Xenopus tropicalis: one gene and its partners. The protein of the gene in region 1 purifies or fractionates together with the protein of each later gene. This does not show direct contact. Links are inferred from orthologs where the notes say so. Each region holds a gene or a part of one and is shown in the gene's direction. Other genes may lie near its edges.

What was found. The genes of interacting proteins can lie anywhere in the genome.
Region 2: the proteins of ddx5 (region 1) and srpk1 purify together in Homo sapiens (affinity purification with mass spectrometry; 3 studies listed by BioGRID and IntAct, with this or other methods). This does not show direct contact. The link is inferred for Xenopus tropicalis from reciprocal best matches to the Homo sapiens genes DDX5 and SRPK1.
Region 3: the proteins of ddx5 (region 1) and drosha purify together in Homo sapiens (co-immunoprecipitation; 4 studies listed by BioGRID and IntAct, with this or other methods). This does not show direct contact. The link is inferred for Xenopus tropicalis from reciprocal best matches to the Homo sapiens genes DDX5 and DROSHA.

What each region holds. Positions count from the first base shown.
Region 1 is NC_030686.2:51,540,391-51,543,421, forward strand, and holds the end of ddx5 (probable ATP-dependent RNA helicase DDX5), read left to right. Parts: coding exon 1-34; intron 35-115; coding exon 116-175; intron 176-1,329; coding exon 1,330-1,548; intron 1,549-1,750; coding exon 1,751-2,151; 3' UTR 2,152-2,432; downstream 2,433-3,031. UniProt on the Homo sapiens protein: Involved in the alternative regulation of pre-mRNA splicing; its RNA helicase activity is necessary for increasing tau exon 10 inclusion and occurs in a RBM4-dependent manner. Binds to the tau pre-mRNA in the stem-loop region downstream of exon 10.
Region 2 is NC_030678.2:69,859,461-69,863,836, reverse strand, and holds the start of srpk1 (SRSF protein kinase 1), read left to right. Parts: upstream 1-1,565; 5' UTR 1,566-1,587; coding exon 1,588-1,600; intron 1,601-4,376. UniProt on the Homo sapiens protein: Serine/arginine-rich protein-specific kinase which specifically phosphorylates its substrates at serine residues located in regions rich in arginine/serine dipeptides, known as RS domains and is involved in the phosphorylation of SR splicing factors and the regulation of splicing.
Region 3 is NC_030682.2:84,246,908-84,251,166, reverse strand, and holds the start of drosha (ribonuclease 3), read left to right. Parts: upstream 1-1,448; 5' UTR 1,449-1,592; intron 1,593-4,259. UniProt on the Homo sapiens protein: Ribonuclease III double-stranded (ds) RNA-specific endoribonuclease that is involved in the initial step of microRNA (miRNA) biogenesis.

The sequences.
Region 1 (3,031 bases):
AAGAGCCAGCAGGAACGTGACTGGGTCTTAAATGGTAGGCAAGCTGTGCACATTATTGCTAAGCTGGCAATTATAGGTTCTTTGCATTTCCTAAAACTGTGTTCCATCCTTGCAGAGTTCAAACACGGTAAATCGCCTATCCTGATTGCCACAGACGTTGCTTCCAGAGGTCTAGGTTAGTACGTTCAATCTGTTTTTGCTCGGTGAAAGCCAATGAACGGACGACTGTTGTGAAATGTCATTGTTTTAAAGAAAGTGATTTGCTTTCTTTAACCTCTGCAATTCTCTTGAGTTTTGTTTTTCACAAAGGTGCGGTCTTTGTGGCAAGGCCTAGGCATGACATTCGGAGGACGCAAGGGGATGGAGGACTAGTGGAAATTGGCTGTCTGCTTCCAGTTGTGTAGAGAAGTGGAAAGCTGAGCATCGTGTGCCAGTATCTTCAAAAGGCAAAATTTAACTTGTACCCCCTCCCCCATTACCAAAACTGCAATCCCATAAAGACATCCCACATTTGTTGCATGCTTCTAGCTCTGATACTTGCAACGCATTCTGCCACTTACCCCCCAGGGTTGCGTTGAGGGGTTGACTTGTTGGAGACGCACATTGGCAGTAATATAATGGGAGCAGCTCATTTAGTTGGAAGCCTTTTGTTAGACAAATTGGTGAGTACTGGCACATGAATGGGTGTAAAGCAAAGGGAGAGGAAGCAGAACTCCTCTAGCCTTAGGTTTCACGATCCTCCCTCACCTGTATCGTAGTGGTCATGTCGAGACCTGCCAGAGGGGACAAATTCTCAAGTGAATCCTGGTTTCTCGCAAGCGCTTGCCTAGACGACACGCAGCACACAGCAATAAACTCTGGCTCCCAAATGCCTGTATTCATAGGGGCGGGTGTTCCCAGGATGTGTGCGCTTGTCGCTCAACTTGTAAGGTCTTGGCAAGACAAAAGCAGTGGGTGGCCAGATTTCTGAGCTTCTAATGAATGTGTGAGGTGGACCACTTCCAGTTTTCTTGAAGGTCCTCGAACTGAGCACATGAGGAGGCTGCTGTTGGCGCCAGTGGCTGTACTGCTGACAAGCAATCAGAGGTCACTTGACTATTAATAATGGGAGACTTTGGGCAGTGCAAACTACTGGTAAGGTGTGTGTGTTTGGGGGTGGAGTTATTGGGCACATTGCTTCTCTAGAGCGGGCAGCCTAACTTTTGTTTTTCAGCCTTGATTCCTCTCTGCAAATCCCCTATTTGGCTAACTTGTGTTTTTGGTCTGACCCTTGTGGTGTGCAAAACCTTATTTGCCCTCCCTGTTTTGCCACACTGCGACACTCTACAGATGTGGAAGATGTGAAATTTGTCATCAATTATGACTACCCGAACTCCTCAGAGGATTATATCCACCGAATTGGAAGAACTGCCCGCAGCAGCAAAACTGGCACCGCATACACTTTCTTTACCCCAGGAAATATTAAGCAAGTTAATGACCTGATCTCCGTCCTCCGAGAAGCAAACCAAGCCATCAACCCCAAGCTGCTGCAGCTGGTGGAGGACAGAGGTAAGAGCCCACTCCCAGTTGGCTTTGTAGAATGGGGGGTGCAGGCTGACTGGATCACATGTAGGTGGAGGCAGCAGATTCTGCCTGAGTTTTACTGAACTGTAGAACTTAGTAAGTGGGCCAGTACCCATCGCAGGAAGGTAGTAAGGTGGGGCTGCTGGATGTTACACCCTAAAGCGTCAATTCCTTTTCCTATTTGCAGGACGCTTCAGAGGCAGAGGAGGCATGAACGACCGACGTGACCGTTTCTCTTCAGGCAAGCGGGGTGGGTGGGACCGGGAAAACTATGACCGTGGGTTTGGCGGCAAGAGAGACTTTGGCAACAAATCCCAAAATGGCTTCGGCAACAAATCCCAAAATGGCTTTGGGGCACAGAATTACAATGGAAACTCCTTTAACAGCTACGGCACCAATGTTCAGAGTGGGTTCCGGGCAGGAGCACAGAACGGCACATACCAGAATGGCTACGCCAGCCAGCAGAATGGCTACAGTGCACCTCCAATGCAGAACAGCATGGCCCAACAGGCATACACATACCCAGCTGCCACTGCTACAGCACCAGCTGTCATGGGTTACCCCATGCCGACGTCCTACCCCCAATAAGCTGTTAAAGCACAGTCTGTTTTTATTTTCTGTACTTGCTCTTTGTATCGTTTCCATGCAGGATAGTTATTTAATCCCAGCGGATTCTCGGAGGGAGCTGCAGCAGTGCCTGTGGTGCACTTTCACTATTTAAGTTGACTGTATCTACATTCCTGAGGCAATTTTAGTTGTTTTTTTTTTTTTTGTAATAGAACAAAGCCAGTGTTTCCAGAGTTTACGTGATTTGGAGTACTGTAATGGGGGCAGCGCATGGCCTTCAATAAAGATCTTTAACTTGGTTATCTCACTTGTCTTGCTCTTCAGTGCCCTCCGGGGGGGGGGGGGCGGTGTGGGGGTACGTAATGCCTGGGCCCCATCACATTTATATTGCTGTTATAGAGAATCTAACCTGGCCACAGACCTCTCAGCATAACTGGCTCCTTAGTGCTTGTGTAAGTCATAGGGCTCCCTTGGAACAGGATTCTTCTGCAGCTAAATGGAGACCATTGGAAAAGTAACCTACATCCTGATTGGTTACCAGCCCACTAGAAAAAGCACCTACTTGGGGTACTGGGGAGGGGGGGGTTAGCCCCCCCACTTTATGTCCCCTACAAGCCAGTTCATTCCAGAGCTGCAGTGTTTAAGACTCGGGGGCAGGCAGGCTCAGGGATAGGGTGCTGTAGGGGCATATACAGGTGCTTTATTCTTGGCTTCAGGTAAAGGGGGTTTGGGACTAATCTACAGACAGAACTCTGCCCATTCATTGGCTGAGAGGGCCTAGCATGTTTGTGTGCACTGTGAATCACGTGATCCCAAGGGGTGGCCCTTAATTCTTAATGGCATTTTCCTATTTAGGATTAAGCACATACTAATAAACATTTTTATAAATTATACTATTTAG
Region 2 (4,376 bases), on another chromosome or scaffold:
CTCCAGTGTAAACAGACCCAACTTGGCCAGTCTTTCTTCATAACCGAGACTTTCCATACCCTTTACCAGCTTAGTTGCCCTTCTCTGGACCCTCTCTAGCTCAATAATGTCCCGTTTGAGCACTGGAGACCAAAACTGAACAGCATATTCTAGATGGGGCCTTACCAGTGCTCTGTAAAGGGGAAGAATAACCCCCTCCTCCCGTGAATCTATACCCCTTTTAATACAGCTCAGAACCTTGTTTGCCCTTGCAGCTGCTGCCTGGCATTGCTTGCTACAGCCAAGTTTATTATCTACAAGGACTCCAAGATCCTTCTCCATTATGGATTTGCCTAGTGCAGTCCCATTAAGGTTATACGGGGCTTGCATATTTTTACATCCCAGGTGCATGACCTTACATTTATCCACATTAAATCTCATCTGCCACTTAGCTGCCCAGATTGCCAGTTGGTCAAGATCCTGCTGCAGGGATGTCACATCCTGGATAGAATTGACTGGTCTGCAGAGTTTTGTGTCATCTGCAAACACTGATACATTACTCATAATACCCTCCCCTAAGTCATTTATGAACAAATTAAACAAAAGTGGACCCAGTACAGAACCCTGAGGGACCCCACTGAGAACCTTACTCCAAGTAGAGAATGTGCCATTAACAACCACCCTCTGTACCCGATCCTGTAGCCAGTTTTCTATCCATGTGCAAACGACTTCACTAAGACCAATAGACCTTAGCTTAGAAAGCAGTCGTTATGATATTATCGTGACTATTACGATTTTTTCGTAAGCATATTCGTGACATTTCCGATCGTCAGAAATGATCGCATCTGATCCGAATTTTACCCATTTTGGGATTCAAACTTGTACTTTGATGAATCTGCCCCATAGGACTGCCAAATGGTATTTCACCAGTGGAGCCAGTAATATAGCAGCCCAGGCTGGCACAGCAGTGTATTTGCCAGTAAAATTATAATTTCCACCCCAGTCATTCTGCCCCTGGCTAGCCACAATTTCCCTTTAACCCCTGACTACTAGCCCAATCCGCTCTCTGTAATAACGCAAGTTTTAAAGTATAGCTCAGCCCTTCCTGGTCCTATCACGCCCCCTTTTTTTATCCAGACCTTTTACCCTGCTGGCTTCTACTCCTTGGTAGACGCTGACAACACTAAACACCCGCACTTTTTTTTTTTTAATTGGATTGAGGGTTTTTTGCATATTTACAACAAACACATATGCACACGTGTCATGCTATGTACTTCGTTCTTTATTGTTCTTCACTGATAGCATTTTTTACGTGAAATTGCACAACGATTCAAGCGGAATTAAAAAAAAACTCATGTTTTCTTATTTAGTTTTACTAAACAAAAGTTCCTTTAGTCTGTTGTAAAAAATAGGCGCACATTAACTCAAAAGTCCAACTACAACATGGCTACATCCGCCCAGGCGCCCCTCGAGGAAAAGGCGTAGCCAAAACGAAAGTGGGAGTGATATTTTCTCGTCCAAACAACTTACGCGCTTTTGGCGTTTGTAAGCGCACACTGGTGACGTTTTGGGGGTCGCACCATAAGCGCGTGGTTTCACCGGCGTACCATGGAGAGAAAAGGTGAGGGAGTAATAAGGGGTTCTATGATTATAGACGGATCATGTAATATAAAACTAAGACAGACTGACTTACAAGCCATGTATTACTAGTGAGTGGTTGCGGTTTTAAATGTATGCGAATAGCAAGTGTAAAGCTGTGAACGTTTCTTTATATTATCTTGCAATTCTTATTGAGAATAATACCATTTGTATGGAAGTGTTTTGCAATTCCTTTTAGCATATCAAGACTTTGTTTTATTACTGTACTTGATAACTTAAAGGAACAGTTCAGTGTAAAAATGAAACTGGGTAAAAGACTGCACAAAAGAAAAAAATATTTGTAATATAGTTAGGCAAAAGCAGATGTCTTAACATAATAGCCAGAATTCTACTTCCTGCTTTCAACCCTCTAACCTCTTAGTTAGTGAGTGACTTTAGGGTGGGCCACATGGGACATAACTGTTTAGTTAGTTTGTGAGCACACAGGACAGATTAAATACAAACCTTACATTTATCAACATTAAAAATCCCCAGGCTTAGTGGCAGATGATATTCAGTTTTTCTAGATCTTGCTGCAAGGATGGATACATCTTGGAAAAATTAATTTACCTGCATAGTTTTGCATGAAATGCAAGAACTAAGTCACTAATAAATAAAAGTGCACTCAATACAAAACCCTGCAGGACCACACTAAGAACAATACTCCAAGCTGTTTTTCAAAACGCATCAGTTAATACAGCTTCTGCAGCAGAAGCCTTGAAATCCATTTTTCAAAACACAATTTTTTTTTTATATTTCAATTTGAAATTTCCCATGGGGCTATAGCCATATTCTTTATTTCCCAGGGTGCCAAAGCCATGTGCCTGTGATCTGATAAACTTTAGTCACACTTTACTGCTGAGCTGCAAGTTGGAGTGATATCACCCCCTTCCCAGCAGCCAATCAGCAGAACAATGGGAAGTTAGCAAGATAGCAGCTCCCAGTAGATATCAGAATACCACTCAATAGTAAGAAATCCAAGTCCGGCTTGCTACTTCTCCAGTTACATGGGAGGGTTTTTCCTACCTATCAGTTCTAATGTGTAGCACTGGCTCTTTCTGAAAACTCAGGCACAATGCACTGTGAAATATTAGCTTTGTAAACTGTGTTTACAGACAATGGTTTTCAGAAGTATTCTCAAACTTGTGCAGTCATTTTCAGTACATAATCCTGTATGTTTTTAATGCAGTGCTGCCCGAAGATATAATATTGGCTTCTGGCCTTGTCCTTGCACACACAGATTTCTCTAATAATATTATGCACTGTAGGTAATGATATCTTTGCAGTTTTACATATTATTCTTAATTTGTTGCAATATTTGCCCAAGCAGTGATTTGTGGAGTGGTGTATCTCTCCTATCTTTATTTTCAAAGGCCCACCCTCTCTGGGATGCTCTTTTTATCTTTACATAACTTTACTAGACTTTAGTTGCTCCTGTCCCAATTTGTTTTTAAGGGCCGTGGCAAATCTCCGTTGTCGCAGGCGACTTATCTCCCAAATATGACATCCCACCGGCGAGAATGTAAATAGCTGGTGAGATGGCATACACGGTGCGGCAATTTACCGAAATCGCAGAAGTTGCTGTGAGAGGCGATTTCGGCACCGCGTATGCCATCCCACCGGCAACATACATTCTAGCCGGTGGGATGGCATTATGGGGAGATTAGTTGCGCGCCGACTAATCTACCCGTCTCTCATGGCCCTTAAGCATTGCTGGCATCATATTAGAATTGAGCATATATTTGATAAGTTTATTTAGTGCTATTTGCAATTACATTTAGGGTTTAAATGATCTGTAACTCATTCCATTCTTTTTCATTTTTTTAATATTTTTTTAGGGTTATGTCCAAATTTATGTACTGAAGTAAATTTAGATTGTTAATTTTAGCTATCCTAAATTGTATAGTCTTTGTTGACCCAGTGTATATTTGCTTTTTGCAGCAAATAAATGAGATAATATAGTCACTTTTGCTCCAGGAGTTGTAATACTTGCAATGCCGGCTCCCCTACACATCCAGAGAATTCAGCCAGCAGGAAGTGGGAGAGATGGGTGTGGCTAGTAGGGTTTGGGGGGGAATTTCTCAATAAATCAGTCCGAAGTACAACCTTTTTAATCACAATCCTTCTATATTTAAAGGAGTATAACGCAGTGGTACATTTTTAAATTTTTTTTTTTTGTAATTTAAATTTTAGAAATTTATAGAAAGAAAAAAGGCAAACAACATCGACAATATACAGAATAGCTATTTTTCATCTTAAATGAAGTGTGGGCTTATTACATAGTGAATTTGTATGCATTCACTTTTTCTTCTTTTGTGATTGTTACTCTTTTCTGTTGAGCTCTGTTTAAACAGTCAGAGTTTGTATGTTAGATCAGGGGTAGGGAACCTATGGCTCGGTAGCCAGATGTAGCTCTTTTGATGGCTGCATCTGGCTTGCTGCCAAATCTTTAATAAAAAAATTAACGGGGACGTGGCCTGCGCTTGGCGGATAGAAGACGTGTTCTAAGCCTTAGAACACGTCTTCTATCCGCCGTGCGCAGGCCACGCCCTCCTCCGCATCCCATCCACATCCGGTATCCTTGGGACCCACCCTACCTTGCCCTGCAGCATCCGCGGCCAAACATATTGTATGGCTCTCACGGAATTACATTTTAAAATATGTGGTGTTTATGGCTCTCTCAGCCAAAAAGGTTCCCGACCCCTGTGTTAGATAGAGTAAAGGTGGAAAGATAGGGTTGGTAGAGGAAAGGAAGACAC
Region 3 (4,259 bases), on another chromosome or scaffold:
AACTACACTACACTAACAACAAAAATACTACGAGCCTGCTGCAGCACCGGTCTACTCTTCATAAAGATTTACATTTTCCCTTTCAGTATTCCAGGATGAAACTTCTCCCATACACAGGGCTTGTGTGTTTATGACATAGCTTGATGAACATATACTGCAAAATATATGAAATATACTATATGGATGTCATAATCAAAACATCGACATCTTTAAAATTTTCTACTAAAAGAAATAAATCAGTGCCTCTTATCAAAGATTGGTATTGCTTTCCTCCAATGGAGTCCCAAACAAATGCAATACTATTGTAGTTTTAAATTATGTTGCCAACTTGTGGTTGCCCATTTGTATCCTATATCTATATTGCGCTTGAATTTTTCTTTATCTGCTCGGTGTCATGAAAACATGGCCCAAGTTTGTAAACACACACAAAAGCAAACCAACGAAGACCCTGTAATAAAGTAACATTTCACCCATCATCTTTTAAATCAGCCCTTTTTTAATCCCTAAATTATGGAAAAAGTTCCCCTAATTTGCATAAAAAACATTGGCAATGGGAGCCTCTGATGCCAAGAAACACACAAAAAAAAATTCTCTGGTTGTTTAATCCTGATACCAGGTTAATAAAAAAAAAAAAAAAAGCCTAAAAATGAAATTATTTTGGTTAGTTTCACATATCTTTATCCTAAATTAGACCTTTTTGTACCTAAATTGCAAAAACTGCAGCCCATTTCCACAGAACCCTTTGATGCCATAGTAATAAAAAAATAATATTCAGTTTTTAGGCTCATCACATGGTCCCTTTTGTGCAAAACAATATGTAAAACGATCAAATATTATTTTTAACTGGTTTACCCACTGGTGGTGCAAAAAGCACTGGGGTCATTGGATAACAGAATTAAAAAATATCTTTAGGCTATTTTGGTCAGTTTCACCCATTTCCTTTCCCTATAATTCCCCTTTTTGTGTCCCTAAAACTCTTCGTGTTGTAGTATTGTTGGCAAATAGGAAAAAGTCTCGTGTTTATTGGCCCAAGTATGAGATTTAAGCAGAGATAAAAATGAATTGCACTGCTGGCAAATATTTGCAAGGGAGGGCTTTGGTAGCGTAGCTTCCAAAATTCTGGCGGCGGCATAAATTCTTACAATCACTAATTGTTTTTGTTTCTCAGAAAACAAAGTAGGAACTGTGAGCACAAAACAACAATTGGCAGCATATACATGCGAGTGACCTGCCGCGCACAAAGTACCACGTCTTAACAGCAGCACTTATGAGGAAAAAGATGTTGTACCCCACTATCCCTTACTATGCAGTTCCTTGCTCGCCAGTCCACAAGCGGTAGCGTCAAGCGTCCCTGCGCTTATATACTCCGTAGTCATGACGTCACTGCCTGATCTCGCGAGATTGTGACAAAGGTTAAGGAAAGCGGGCCGGCAAAAGGTAAGGAACTGAGTTTTTAAAAGGCTCTCCGGGACTGTGAGCTGTATGGTGGAAATTGAGTCTGTCCCACGCAAAGCATAACTGGGGAGGTATAAATGGTCTTTATTTGTAAAATCACTGGAATCTAAAACGGGGACGGTCTGGTTATATGCTCGGTGAGTTATAGCTTTTGTGACAACACTTTATAGACGTGGGTGAAAGCTTGCTTGCATACAGTGTTTAGGATATCGCCAGTAAAAATATATATGAATTGAGATACTATGGGGAGCACGGTAAATCATAGGATTATGCTAATCTGGTAAATAATAACTAGATCCTGGTGGGTACAACAACAGCACCCCTGTAGAGCATAGGGTGCAGCCAATACACACCCATTACACAATACTAGTAGGAACATACAAAGGCATAGAATCTAGCCTGATATTCACGAACTGCTATTAAAGAACATAATGCCTAACCAGTATATTAGGCCATAACTCCCAAAATAATATACAGATGTCTAGGAAAAATATTATGCATTCTAGCTTTACCCTAGCTCTAAACCCAATGTCCCAAAATAAAGTTCATAAAACTCAAACATCAACTTTCAGGCAAAACAACTTTATGTAGCCTTAGTCAGAATTGAATCCAGGACCTTAGCATTATCAAGGTAAGAACCACTATACCATTGTGTACCTTAGTGATATACAGTGGTGTGAAAAACTATTTGCCCCCTTCCTGATTTCTTATTCTTTTGCATGTTTGTCACACAAAATGTTTCTGATCATCAAACACATTTAACTATTAGTCAAAGATAACACAAGTAAACACAAAATGCAGTTTTTAAATGAGGGTTTTTATTATTTAGGGAGAAAAAAAATCCAAACCTACATGGCCCTGTGTGAAAAAGTAATTGCCCCCTGAACCTAATAACTGGTTGGGCCACCCTTAGCAGCAATAACTGCAATCAAGCGTTTGCGATAACTTGCAACGAGTCTTTTACAGCGCTCTGGAGGAATTTTGGCCCACTCATCTTTGCAGAATTGTTGTAATTCAGCTTTATTTGAGGGTTTTCAAGCATGAACCGCCTTTTTTAGGTCATGCCACAACATCTCAATAGGATTCAGGTCAGGACTTTGACTAGGCCACTCCAAAGTCTTCATTTTGTTTTTCTTCAGCCATTCAGAGGTGGATTTGCTGGTGTGTTTTGGGTCATTGTCCTGCTGCAGCACCCAAGATCGCTTCAGCTTGAGTTGACGAACAGATGGCCGGACATTCTCCTTCAGGATTTTTTGGTAGACAGTAGAATTCATGGTTCCATCTATCACAGCAAGCCTTCCAGGTCCTGAAGCAGCAAAACAACCCCAGATCATCACACTACCACCACCATATTTTACTGTTGGTATGATGTTCTTTTTCTGAAATGCTGTGTTACTTTTACGCTAGATGTAACGGGACACGCACCTTCCAAAAAGTTCAACTTTTGTCTCGTCGGTCCACAAGGTATTTTCCCAAAAGTCTTGGCAATCATTGAGATGTTTTTTAGCAAAATTGAGACGAGCCTTAATGTTCTTTTTGCTTAAAAGTGGTTTGCTCCTTGGAAATCTGCCATGCAGGCCGTTTTTGCCCAGTCTCTTTCTTATGGTGGAGTCGTGAACACTGACCTTAATTGAGGCAAGTGAGGCCTGCAGTTCTTTAGATGTTGTCCTGGGGTCTTTTGTGGCCTCTCGGATGAGTTGTCTCTGCGCTCTTGGGGTAATTTTGGTCGGCCGGCCACTCCTCGGAAGGTTCACCACTGTTCCATGTTTTTGCCATTTGTGGATAATGGCTCTCACTGTGGTTCGCTGGAGTCCCAAAGCTTTAGAAATGGCTTTAAAACCTTTACCAGACTGATAGATCTCAATTACTTTTGTTCTCATTTGTTCCTGAATTTCTTTGGATCTTGGCATGATGTCTAGCTTTTGAGGTGCTTTTGGTTTACTTCTCTATGTCAGGTAGCTCCTATTTAAGTGATTTCTTGATTGAAACAGGTGTGGCAGTAATCAGGTCTGGGTGTGACTACAGAAAAAAACCTCAGGTGTGATAAACCACAGTTAAGTTATTTTTTAACAAGGGGGGCAATCACTTTTTCACACAGGGCCATGTAGATTTGGAGTTTTTTTTCCTCCCTTAATAACGTAAACCTTCATTTAAAAACTGCATTTTGTGTTCAATTATTTTATCTTTGACTAATAGTTAACGGTTTTTGATGAGCATAAACATTTAAGTGTGACAAACATGCAAAAGAATAAGAAATCAGGAAGGGGGCAAATAGTTTTTCACACCACTGTATGCTGTGTATGAATAGTTTACATAACCTGGTATATGAAGTACACTAGTTCCTAGGGACCTTTAGCCTAGAGCTGGGCGATATGACCAAAAATTTATATCACGGTATTTTTCAAAATTATATCGGTGTCACAGTATTTGACGGTATTTTTTTTTCCATGCATGCTTAGGTGTTAACCCCATTTCCTAATAAATTAGAGGATAATTACTGCAGTATTGAAAATCAGAGTCAGGCAAGCGAAGGATCGGCAACAGAAAGTCATAAGGTAAATCAGGCAGGCTTAGTTTCCCAGGCAAGGCCGCAGACAACATAGCACAGGAGGAGGCGTTTGATAGCTTTAAATACCCCCAACGCATGCGCAGAACTGGCGCCGTCGGTGCATCGCGGATGTGCACGCTTTGACGCGCGCGAGACCGGGCCGCATGGGTGAGTACCCTGACACCCCGGTATTGCGGTATCTGAAAAATGAATATAGTTTAAAAAAAAAAAAAACACCGGTATTCGGTATTAAACG